Linked DNA regions of Macaca fascicularis. The protein of the gene in region 3 purifies or fractionates together with the protein of the main gene of each other region. This does not show direct contact. Links are inferred from orthologs where the notes say so. Each region holds a gene or a part of one and is shown on either strand. Other genes may lie near its edges.

Region 1 (3,647 bases), on a different chromosome or scaffold from region 3:
AAATTAAAAGAATAGGCCGCACAGTGGCTCACGCCTGTAATCCTAGCACTTTGGGAGGCTGAGGTGGGCGGATCACGAAGTCAGGAGCTTGAGACCATCCTGGCTAACACGATGAAACCCTGTCTCTACTAAAAATACAAAAAATCAGCTGGGCGTGGTGGTGGGCACCTGTAGTCCCAGCTACTCAAGAGGCTGAGGCAGGACAATTGCTTGAACCCGGGAGGCAGAGCTTGCAGTGAGCCAAGATCACACCACTGCCCTCTACTCCAGCCTGGGCAACAGCGAGACTCCTTTAAAAACAAAAAAAAAAAATTAAAAGAATATGTATTGACACTGTAGATTTGTGACATATCAAGATTAGAAGTTGAATTAGTAGTGCCATAATAAAGTCACTAGAGAAAGGGCTTATTTTTGTGATGCTAACTTGATATGTACCATATATGTTTATCTCATACTAATGCTTCTTAGGATATATTATTAGTTAGTGACTGTTAACATAGATTCAGATTAACATCGGTTTAAACAACATAAAAGTTGATTTTTTTCCCCCTCATATCGAAGTCTAGAAGCAGGCAGTCCAAGGCTGGTAAGGGAGCGCTGCTCAGTGAGATTGCCTAGACCCTGGTTTCTTCTACCTTCTTCTTCCATCATCTCTTGGTGTTTGCCGTTTTTCCTGTAGTGCAGGGTGGCTCACTCTCACATCTACATTCTAGCCAGCAGGAAGAGGAAAAGGCCAGTGATAAAATATGGCCCAAAAGTTGCACATATGACTTCTGCTCCCAACTGATTGGCCAGAATTTAATCACATGATCATACTAGCAGCAAGATTGGTTGGGAAACATAATCTTTAATTCTGAATAACCATGTGTCCTTCCAAAATTCAGGGGCTCCACCAGTGTAGATAAAGAGAGTCTATTGGGGTCTGTGAGTTCCCTAAAATGATTTGTAAAAGTTTATATAAGTATTTGTGAATGTGTACTTTTCTGATAACTTTCATTAGCTTCTGAAAATGGTTTGTGACCAAAGCTAAGAATAGATATTTGTAAAAGAATTTGAATGATTTATGTAATGTAACATTTATTTTATTAGCTCTATTCCAATTGATTACAACCTGTATCGAAAATTCTGGTCACTTCAGGATTACTTCAGGAACCCCGTGCAATGCTATGAGAAGATTTCATGGAAAACTTTTCTCAAGGTGAGTTGCCAGTGACAGACTGTCAGAAGCCTAGTATTTTATAGCCAGTGATAGAGCTAAAACTTACCCTTGTCTAACATACTTTTCACTATTTTATTCTACCTCTTACATTTTTATACCAATTTCATAACAAGCTAAATTACAAATTAATATTTAAACCACTATTATTGTGAAGTAGTGTGTAAGAATCGGATATTTAAAAGTCATTACAGCCTTGCTTTTTTGGAATATAATGAGTGTTATCAACATAAATTGATGATATTTTGCAGAATATATTCTGTCTTTGTACAAAATTATTTTAGCTGTCTTGTTGAAACAGAAGTCCTCAAGTCATGGCCCTGGGCCAGATCTGACCTACTGCTTGTAAACAAAGGTTTATTGGAATACTACCATGACCTCCACTTACCTGTGGCTGTTTTTGCACTCTAATGGCACAGCTGAGTAGTTGCAACTGAGACTATAAAGGCCACAAAGCCTGAAATAATTACTCTCTGGTCCTTTATGGAAGAAGTTTGCCAATCCTGTTTTAGAAGAATTTTTTATATTTTTCTTGGCTACTTAAAGATCAGTTATCCTTTTTTGTTGTAATCAAAATATAAGATAAGTAGGTAGTTCTCAAAGTAGCGTGGTGTGTGTTATGTTATTTTTAATAGTTTTTGTTTTGTATGCAATTTTTTGTGGGGGCAGCACCATCCAAATTCAGATTAAGTGGTTAGTGAGAAATAATCTGAAATTGTCTTCTAACTGAACAGAATTTGATGGAATTTATTTGCTCAGTCTTTAGCACAAGAAATACATAAGAGTTTCTACAGGTAGTTAAACAATTTCACTGGTAAATTCCTATACACTCTTAAAAGTGTTCCCTTCTCTGTTTGTCCCTTACACAAACTTCTTAAATCATATTTCTTTTTTTTTGGAGACGGAGCCTCCCAGGTTCGAGGGATCCTTTAGCCTCAGTCTCCCGAGTAGCTGGGACTACAGGTGCCCGGCTAATTTTTGTGTTTTTAGTTGAAACAGGGTTTCACCATGTTGGCCAGGCTTGTCTCAAACTCCTGATCTCAAGTTACCTGCCCACCTCAGCCTCCCAAAGTGCTGGGATTACAGGCATGAGCCACCGCAACTGGCCAAGAAATCGCATTTCTTTAGGAGTAGGGAACTTGTTCCTACTTTTACAACAAGTGAAATATCCACAATAGTTTTTACTCCCATAATTTTTATTGTTAGTGTGCCTTACAATATACAATATACATACATGATTGAGAGTAAATTCTAGACATTTTGATGCAGAAAAGCACTAAACAAATTTGGGTAACAATGTCGAATAAAACTAACATTTTTATTTTGCAGTATTCTGAAGAAGTTTTAGCTGTTTTTAAGAGTTATAAATTAGATGATACTCAGGCCTCAAGAAAAAAGATGGAAGAATTGAAAACAGGAGGAGAGCATGTATATTTTGCAAAATTTTTAACAAGTGAAAAGGTATAAGTTTTTCTTTCTCACTAAGCATAATAAGAAATGGTCTTGTTTTATTTCTGTTTAGCTGACAGCCTTTCTAACTTAAATTGAATAGAAATGTTTCCTATTTTTACTTTGGGTTAAAGCTGATTAATGTTACTTTGAAAGTCCCATTTCTTCCTTTCACAAGTAGGACTAATTTGATTTCAAAGGTGAAAGTAATTCTACATTAAGTCTGTTTTGTAGACTAATTTTGGAATAAATGCAGTTTAATTACTTTCATGTCTATATATTTTAAACGTCAAGTTAGGATTTAATTTGTATATGAAAATAATATTTCATAATATTTAGGTACAAGTAAGGGGTTTAAAAGTTCCTTGTTAATCTTATTTATACATTTTAAAAAGTAAATTTTGTTCAAATATAATGCTACAAGATGATGTAAAGTTTCTAGTCAAGATGGCACATTGAGTTTATGTTTCGACTCACTCCCTTTGCTCCAAACACATAGCAATGACGGGTAAAATATAAATGAGAAAACAAAAGAGACAAGGCTGGGCTTCCACAAACAAGATAAATATCTTCATGGACCAGAAATGCCAAGTAGTGAGCAAAACTGCAGCCTGGGCCTGCTGGACTCTCTATCCAAGGCAGGTGGTGGTGTCCAGGAATTTGGCTACAAGTAACAGAGACTAAATGTGCACCATGTGGGACAAGGGGCCAGAGCCAGTTTCGCTTCTTGAAGCCAAGGACTAGGGTGGAACTTTTATCCACTTTTGGAAAGAAACTAAGAAAAAAGATTGCCAGTCTTCTGCCAAGGGCTATGGTTTTATAGGAAGTTGTGAGCCTAGGGATAACAAAGACAGCTTTGTGTCCATCTGCTTGCTCAGTGACCAGATATGTGATATGCTAAGTATACTTATGAAGCAGCTGCTGTAAGAAGTCATCATAAGACTTATTCTAGACTTTTGGACTCAGGGGCCCTGGTAGAAGC
Region 2 (4,302 bases), on a different chromosome or scaffold from region 3:
TTATCACCAATTGCTCTCATTTCATTCCCTAATTCTTTTTCTGTTTCTCCATGAAAGTCCAAATTGTAATTTTTTTAACATTGAATTTTACACTTGATTTCTTATTTTTAGACAGGGGTCTTGTTATGTTGCCCAGGCTGGACTTGAACTCCTGGGCCCAAGTGATTCTCCTCACTTAGCTTCCCACATAGCGGGGACTGTTGGCTATCACACTCAGCTCTAATCCTTTTTAGGGTTGGAAATTTATCCTCAATCTAACTGAGAAGTACAAGAGCCAGTGAGTTCTTTAGTAATCATTTCCTGTGTATATTCTGTACAAGTGGATCTGGCTTTGAAATTTACAGTGTATTAGAGTTTGATGTTTCGATCTTGAAATTTTAACATCCTTTAACATCCTTTTACACATACACACATAACTTTGTTTTGTATGCTTTGTATGTTTTACCTAATGGGATCATCTTATACCTGCTTTTTAACTTTTTTTTCTTTTTCTGAGATAGAGTTTTGCTCTGTGGCCCAGGCTGGAGTGCAGTGGCATGATCTGGGCTCACTGTAACCTCTGCCTCCTAGGTTCAAATAATTCTCCTGCCTCAGTCTCCCAAGTAGCTGGGACTACACGTGCGTGCCACCATGCCTGGCTAATTTTTGTATTTTTAGTAGACACCAGGTTTCACCATGTTGGCCAGGCTGATCTTGAACTCTTGACCTCAAGTGATCCACCCACCTCAGCCTTCCAAAGTGCTGGGATTACAGGTGCGAACCACAGCGCCCAGCTATATATAGACATGATAATTATATAATATATATATAAAATTTCATCTAAACTTGTATCTTAGAAATTCTTATCAGTAAGCGTACGTGATTTCATTTATTTATTACTCTCTTGGATACTATACATAATCAGGTGGCCCCAATTCTTTACACTGGCAGCAAAGATATGCAAATTCTTCCAGCAGGCCGAATTTGACCCCACACTTGATTAGCGTGGTGGACACAGAGGGTTTTTAAATGGCATAGGAATGCTTTTTGCTTCCCACCGGACCCACTACCCTCTATTGCCACTGATTAATATTACCTTCCTTGAATCAGGAGGAAACCGTTTGTGACTTCTCATATGTAAGATCCTCTAAGGGCAGAAACGCGATTATCTTTGTATTAATCTCCCCGCCCACCCCCACCCCTCCCATCGAGAGCCTCCAGTCAGGTTCAAGCTTTCAAAAAGGCGTGAGATAATCCAATCATCCTTGCCGCTTTTTGCTCCTCCAAGCTCTAGAGGGCGACAAAAATCGCGGAGGCGCATTGGAGTCTACTGAAGGCCGCTCCCGACGTGCGCGTCTTTACGTAGACGTCGGGGGCGGAGCCGCGCTGTGAGCGGTGACTGGCGGCGGCACTGGCGGCGGCACTGGCGGCAGCTGGAGGTGTAATAGTGCAGGTAGTGGGGTTGGAGAAGTTCCGAGGCGGCGGTGGCGCCGGTGAGGACTAGGATAGCGGAAGCGGGCCCTGGGCTTGTCGCTCACCATGCCGACGGTAGAGGAGCTTTACCGCAATTATGGCATCCTGGCCGATGCCACGGAGCAAGTGGGCCAGGTGAGTGAGTCCCCGGGCGGCCTGCAGGGCCCGGCGCTCCGCGGCCTTTCCAAAGCGCAGCCCGCCGCGCTCTCCCGGGCCGGGCGGGGGCTGCGGCTTCATCCTCCCGGGGGAGCTCCTAACCTCCCCAGGCCGTCTCGTCGGGGTGGGCCTCTCTGGGAGTGTAGACTCTGGCTTCACCAGGGAGACCGCGGTCCCCAGGGTTCCAGGCTTCCCTGCCTCCCTCGCCCAGCCTTTTCCCACCTTGGCGTAACCTAACTCAGCCTGTTCAGGCTCACGTTAATTCTCCTCCCGGGCTTTCCTCTACAGTATTCTGTTAAGCCTTTCTCCTTTCCCGTCCCCTTTTCTGAACAAGATTAGATCGGGAGTTTTCTTCAAGAGGTCAAGATGTGTTGTTTTTTTGTTTTTGTTTTTGTTTTTTTGGAGGCAAAATTCTGCTACTAGTTGAAGAAGAGTGTTTAGGAGACAGAAGTTTGTAAGAAACAGAAGAGGGACTCTTTGGTCCAGACTTTGATGAAGGCTCACGGTTTCATTTATTCAGTACATTTTTTGAGCGCCGAGCGCTGGAGATACAGATGGAAAGGTCCGCGCGCTCTCAGAATGTACAGTTAGGAGGGAGTGTAGTGAGTGATGAATAAGAAAGGCATTGTGAGGCCCGGCGCGGTGGCTCACGCCTGTAATCCCAGCACTTTGGGAGGCCCAGGCGGGTGGATCACGAGGTCAGGAGTTCGAGACCAGCCTGAGCAACATGGTGAAACCCCGTCTCTGCTAACAATACAAAAATTAGCTGGGCGTGGTGGTGCGCGCCTGTAATCCCAGCTACTCAGGAGGCGGAGGTGGGAGGATTGCTTGAACCTGGAAGGCGGAGGTTGCAGTGAGCCGAGATCGCTTCACTGCTCTCCAGCCTGGGCAACCGAGCGAGACCCCGTCAAAAAAAAAAAAAGGGGGTTTTTTTAAAATTATTATTTATCGTTTTTAATGAAACGTGTTTGAAGAAAATAAAACAGGGCTGGGCGAAGGAGTGTGTGAGAGTGCAGCTCTGAATGGAGTTCTCTGGAAGAGCGCTCTTGCCATGCTTGCCGCGGATACACAGTTTCTCAGCAGTGAATTATCCGTACGAGCCATTTGTTCCCTGTATGAGTTTTCAAGTAGCGGAGTACATTGAACTTGATAAGTGGCTGGGAAAAGAACCAGGAAGTCCTAGAGGCAACTTTGATAATTGTTTTAGAAATCCCACACCATAGCTTTTCAGTGCTTAGTTAGAACTTTGTGATTTTTCTGCTTACGCATCCCTTCTTGGAGAAAGTGGAAGATTCTAGTCTATTAACAGTCGTGGGAGTACCTTTCCCGTCCCCTTTTCTGAACATAATTCAAATAAGACCTTTCTGAGCTGAAAGAAAAAAAAAAAATCATGTTGGAGCTTTATTGTAGCTTAATCTAGAATTGTGAATGTACCAGTTTGAAATAGCAGATGATTTTTTTTCCCTTCATTCCCTGTCAGTAGGGAATTTCACTATTATCAGTGAGAAATGTATACGGATATTCTGTTGTACATGTGGACAGAGTGTGTAGGTCGGTTGTGAAGGAGGAATATTCTCTTCATTAAGAAGATAAAAACTGCCGGGCATGGTGGCTCACTCCTGTAATCCCAGTTCTTTAAGAGGCCTGGGTGGGCAGATCACTTGAGGTCAGGAGTTCGAGACCAGCCTGGCAAACATGGTGAACTCCTATCTCTACTAAAAATACAAAAAATAGCCAGGCATGGTGGCGTGCGCCGGAAGTCCCAGCTATTTGGGGTGGCTGAGGCAGGAGAATCACTTGAACCCAGGGGGCAGAGGTTCCTGTGAGCTGATACCAGGCCACTCCAGTTCAGCCTGGGCAGCAGAATGAGACTCCATCTCAAACAAAAAATTAAAAAAAAAAAAAAGATAAAAACTATGTAGGATCAGTTTGAATTTGTTATTCCTAAAAAGAACTAGTAGTGAAGATATTCTCAATCGTATAATTTTTCTGGGACTTAGTTGGGTAACTTTGTAACAAATTGTTCTACCTGTGTTTGATTTTGTTGCACATCAGTAGAGGGGATAGGGTGAAAGCTAGAACTGTGGTTCTGTCAGGAATCTTTCTAAGAAGCCTTTGAAACCGTATAGATAATGCTGTCCCATTCCCCTACTTTAATTTTGAGATTTGCTTACATTTCCTTCTCATGTCATCTTTATAAAAACCAGATTGAATTGAGAGTTCTCCCCCAAGGAGTCAAAATGTCTTTCTTGCAGCAAAAATGTATTTGCAGCAAAAATGTACTCTTTATTTAGTAAGGGTACTTGAGACAAGTTTGTGAAAAAATGGAAAAGGATAACTTTGTCTACACTTTAATGAGAATTCATGCTTTATTCGGTAGGTTTCACCTACCATGTACCACACACCCGGCTGGATGCTGGAATTTAACACAGTTCCCTGTAGATTATGGGTCATCAATGCGTTCTGTATTGACAGCTGTCAAGCAACTATCTAAACTCTCTGCATAATGAGATGTAGTGATTAGCTCAGGCTGCTCAAACTGTGAATTTTAGGAGAACCAAAGATAATGCCTACTAATTCTGCTCTGTTGGGTTATACTTCTCCCCTTTTAGATAAAATGCCTAAAATCACTTACTAAAAGACAGTAGGTTTTAGGATATTGCTTGTAATTTTAACTAACAAAGGCAAAAGCCA
Region 3 (3,647 bases):
GAGGTCTGAGTATAGAGGAGTCAGATCAGGAGGGGCCTGGTAGGCTGGCTGTGTGGAAACTTGAGTTTTCTGAGCAGAGCAGTGATGTACTCAGGCTTTTTTTTTTTTTTAAATTTTTTTTTAAATTTTTTGAGATAGCCTTGCTCTGTCGCCCAGGCCGGAGGGCAGTGGTGTGATCTTGGCTCACTGCAACCTCTACCTCCTAGGTTCAAGTGATTCTCCTGCCTCAGCCTCCCGGGTAGCTGGAATTACAGGTGCCCGCCACCACACCTGGCAAATTTTTGTTATTTTAGTAGAGACGGGGTTTCACCATGTTGGTCAGGCTGGTCCTGGACTCCTGACCTTAGGTGATCCGCCCGCCTCGGCCTCCCAAAGTGCTGGGATTACAAGCGTGAGCCACTGGGCCTGGCCGTGACTCAGTTTGATAGGATCTTTCTGGCTGCTCTGGGGAGGGGCTGGGGGATGGCAACAGGGAAACCAGGGAGGAGGCTGTTGGCTTAATTCAGCCAAGAGATGATGGCCTCTGCATGTCCAGCTGACAGTGGTTAAGCAAAATGTAGTATATTGATGAGAAGGAACATTAGGTGACCATGGAAAGAAATGAGGCCGGGTGTGGTGGCTCACACCTGTAATCCCAGGACTTTGGAAGGCCAAGGGGGGTGGATCGCCTGAGCCCGGAAGTTGGAGATCAGCCTGGGCAACATGGTGAAACCCCATCTCTGTTACAAATACAAAAATTAGTGGTGGTGGGTGCCTGTAGCTTCTGCTACTAGGGAGGCTGAGGTGGAAAGATCGCTTGATTGAGCCTAGGAGGCAGAGGTTGAAGTGAGCTTTGATTGGGCTGCTGTACTCCAGTCTGGGCAACAGAGCAAGACCTTGTCTCAAAGAGGGGGAAAAAAAAAGGGAGTGCTGATGATGTGCTGGAGCACATTGTGCTGAGTGAAGAAACCAGACACAGAATGTCACAAATTGTAAGATTTCATTTATGTGAAATATCCACAACAACCAGCAAATCCACAGAAACAGAAAGCAGATTAGTGGTTGCCCGGGGCTGGGGTGGGGTATTTAGGGTATGGATGGGTAAAGGGTACAGGAGCTTTTATTTCAAGGTGATGAAGTATTCTAAAATTGCTCGTGTGGTAGTGGTTGCACATGTTGGTTCTACACTAAAAACCACTGAATTGTCTGCTTTAAGTGGTGAGTTGTATAGCGTGTAAATATCTCTGTGAAGTTTTTTTTTTTTTTTAGGCTGGAGTGAGGTGGCATGATTTTGGCTCATCACAACCTCCGCCTCCCGGGTTTAAGCGATTCTTCTGCAGCAGCTTCCCGAGTAGCTGGGATTATAGGCGCCTGCCACCACACCTGACTAAATTTTTGTATTTTTAGTAGAGATGGGGTTTCACCATGTTGGTCAGGCTGGTCTGGAACTCCTGACTTCAGGTGACCCGCCTGCCTTGGTCTCTCAAAGTGCTGAGATTACAGGCGTGAGCCCCCACGCCTGGCCTGTAAAGCTGTTCTAATTAAAAATAATAATAACAAGGCCAGGCGCAGTGGCTCACGCCTGTAATCCCAGCACTTTAGGAGGCCTAGGCGGGCGGATCACGAGGTCAGGAGTTCGAGACCAGCCTGACCAACATGGTGAAACCCTGTCTCTACTGAAAATACAAAAATTATCTGAGCGTGGTGGCAAGCACCTGTAATCCCAGCTACTCAGGAGGCTGAGGCAGGAGAATCTCTTGAACCCTGGAGGCGGAGGTTGCAGTGAGCCGAGGTGCCACTGCGCTGCAGCCTGGGTGACAGAGCAAGATTCCGTCTCAATAATAATAAAAAACAGGTGATAGCACATTGGGGCCAGCATGGTAGCATAGGTGAGAACTGGCCAGAGGGCCTTGATGGGATTCACTGCCTCATGGACAGGGATGTTGAGAGAGAAAAAAACAGCCATTGAGAGAATGGAATTGCTGTTTCTGGGCTGGGATTGAGTGACAGTGGGGCCAGAAGTGGCTTAGGATCCTCAGCATCCAGCCTCAGGAAGAATTGTATCAGCTGCAGCCCTCTGCTCCACCCCCCACTGGAGTCTGGGGTAGGGGAGGAGGATATAAGACAATTGTCCTCATGTTTGGGTCCCTTGCACCCAGCAGGCACTTGGTATGCATTAGATTAATAAAGCAAAGAGGTAGGCAGACTTTGTATTAATTCCATTTTCCATCTTCTCAGCTTTATTTTTATTGGCCCAGGCCCAATAGGAGGCCTTTCATGAGAGCACTTAATTATTCCCCTGTGCAGACCACAGAGAGCGGGAGAAGCTGGGGCTGGGCAGATACTGCTTGCTCTCTTGCAAACTTAGTTCCCGCCAGCATCCTGGCAGCCCTACCCCTGGGGTCTTTGGGCTCCTGCCCCATGAAAGCCCAGTGGGTTCCTTGCGGAGTGATAGGGAGGGGGCTTCTCTGGGCTAGGTAGCCCGAGGAGGTTCACTGGAGCTGAGGCTTGCGTGTGGAGAAGAAGGCATTTGTGCAGAGACCTGGGGGCCGAGCATTGCTGGTGGTGACAACCGGGTTCAAAGGCTTGGGGCAGGAGTTCCAGGGGTCTGAGCAGCTGAACAAGGCTGGGGGTGGTGTGGGATGAGGTGGGCAGGGGTCAAACCAAGGGGATTGCCTGACCTGTGGTGAGAGTTGGGATTTTAACTCTGCAAGCCATGGGAAGCCCTTGGAGGTGGAGGGTGTTCTGTCTGTGGGTGTGGCAAGCGGGGCATGGGGGAGAGATAGGGTGGCTTGGGGGTGCGGAGGTGAAGACAGGGCGAAGCTACGAGATGCAGCCCAGGTGGAGCTGACAGGCTGGCTTATGGAAGGAGGTGGTAGAGAATGCCGTTTGAATGAAGCTTCATCATCCTTCTGTGCCCACTCGCGGGACCCTGCCTCTCTCTCTTCTCAGCATCATGGCAGAACAGGATGTGGAAAATGATCTTTTGGATTACGATGAAGAGGAAGAGCCCCAGGCTCCTCAAGAGAGCACACCGGCTCCCCCTAAGAAAGACATCAAGGGATCCTACGTTTCCATCCACAGCTCTGGCTTCCGGGACTTTCTGCTGAAGCCGGAGCTCCTGCGGGCCATCGTGGACTGTGGCTTTGAGCATCCGTCTGAGGGTACGCCTTCTGGGTGTCATCCTCTTGCCCAGGTCCTCACCAAGACAAGACCAGCCCTGCCCGCCCAGAGCGGTGCTGCCTCCAGTGTGCCGTGGGTGAGGGAGGGGCCTGCCCACCCCTTGGATCAGTTGTGCCCAGCAGGGCCTATGGCTGCTCTCAGCACCGGGGTGCTCTGCTTTGACCAGGCAGATACCCTAGCCCTGCAGGTGTCTGTGGCCTTGTCCGGACTTGGCCTTTTCTGATTGCCCTCACTGTGGGCCCCCTGGTCAACTGGTGAGCAGCCTGCACGGGGGTGTGTCCAGGTTCTCGTCTCTCACGCTCTGCTTCTCCTGCAGTCCAGCACGAGTGCATTCCCCAGGCCATCCTGGGCATGGACGTCCTGTGCCAAGCCAAGTCTGGGATGGGCAAGACAGCGGTCTTCGTGCTGGCCACCCTACAGCAGATTGAGCCTGTTAACGGACAGGTGGGTGGGCTCCTCCCTTCCCAGCCCCACCCTACCTGTGG

The links.
Region 1: the proteins of DDX39A (region 3) and THOC1 purify together in Homo sapiens (affinity purification with mass spectrometry; 3 studies listed by BioGRID and IntAct, with this or other methods). This does not show direct contact. The link is inferred for Macaca fascicularis from reciprocal best matches to the Homo sapiens genes DDX39A and THOC1.
Region 2: the proteins of DDX39A (region 3) and API5 fractionate together in Homo sapiens (co-fractionation; 3 studies listed by BioGRID, with this or other methods). This does not show direct contact. The link is inferred for Macaca fascicularis from reciprocal best matches to the Homo sapiens genes DDX39A and API5.

The regions. Positions count from the first base shown.
Region 1 is NC_088392.1:68,930,728-68,934,374, reverse strand, and holds part of THOC1 (THO complex subunit 1), read left to right. Parts: intron 1-1,089; coding exon 1,090-1,198; intron 1,199-2,545; coding exon 2,546-2,677; intron 2,678-3,164; exon of another isoform or gene 3,165-3,647. UniProt on the Homo sapiens protein: Component of the THO subcomplex of the TREX complex which is thought to couple mRNA transcription, processing and nuclear export, and which specifically associates with spliced mRNA and not with unspliced pre-mRNA.
Region 2 is NC_088388.1:22,511,995-22,516,296, reverse strand, and holds the start of API5 (apoptosis inhibitor 5), read left to right. Parts: upstream 1-1,389; 5' UTR 1,390-1,518; coding exon 1,519-1,587; intron 1,588-4,302. UniProt on the Homo sapiens protein: Antiapoptotic factor that may have a role in protein assembly. Negatively regulates ACIN1. By binding to ACIN1, it suppresses ACIN1 cleavage from CASP3 and ACIN1-mediated DNA fragmentation. Also known to efficiently suppress E2F1-induced apoptosis.
Region 3 is NC_088393.1:14,840,937-14,844,583, reverse strand, and holds part of DDX39A (ATP-dependent RNA helicase DDX39A), read left to right. Parts: intron 1-2,931; 5' UTR 2,932-2,935; coding exon 2,936-3,143; intron 3,144-3,478; coding exon 3,479-3,606; intron 3,607-3,647. UniProt on the Homo sapiens protein: Helicase that plays an essential role in mRNA export and is involved in multiple steps in RNA metabolism including alternative splicing. Regulates nuclear mRNA export to the cytoplasm through association with ECD.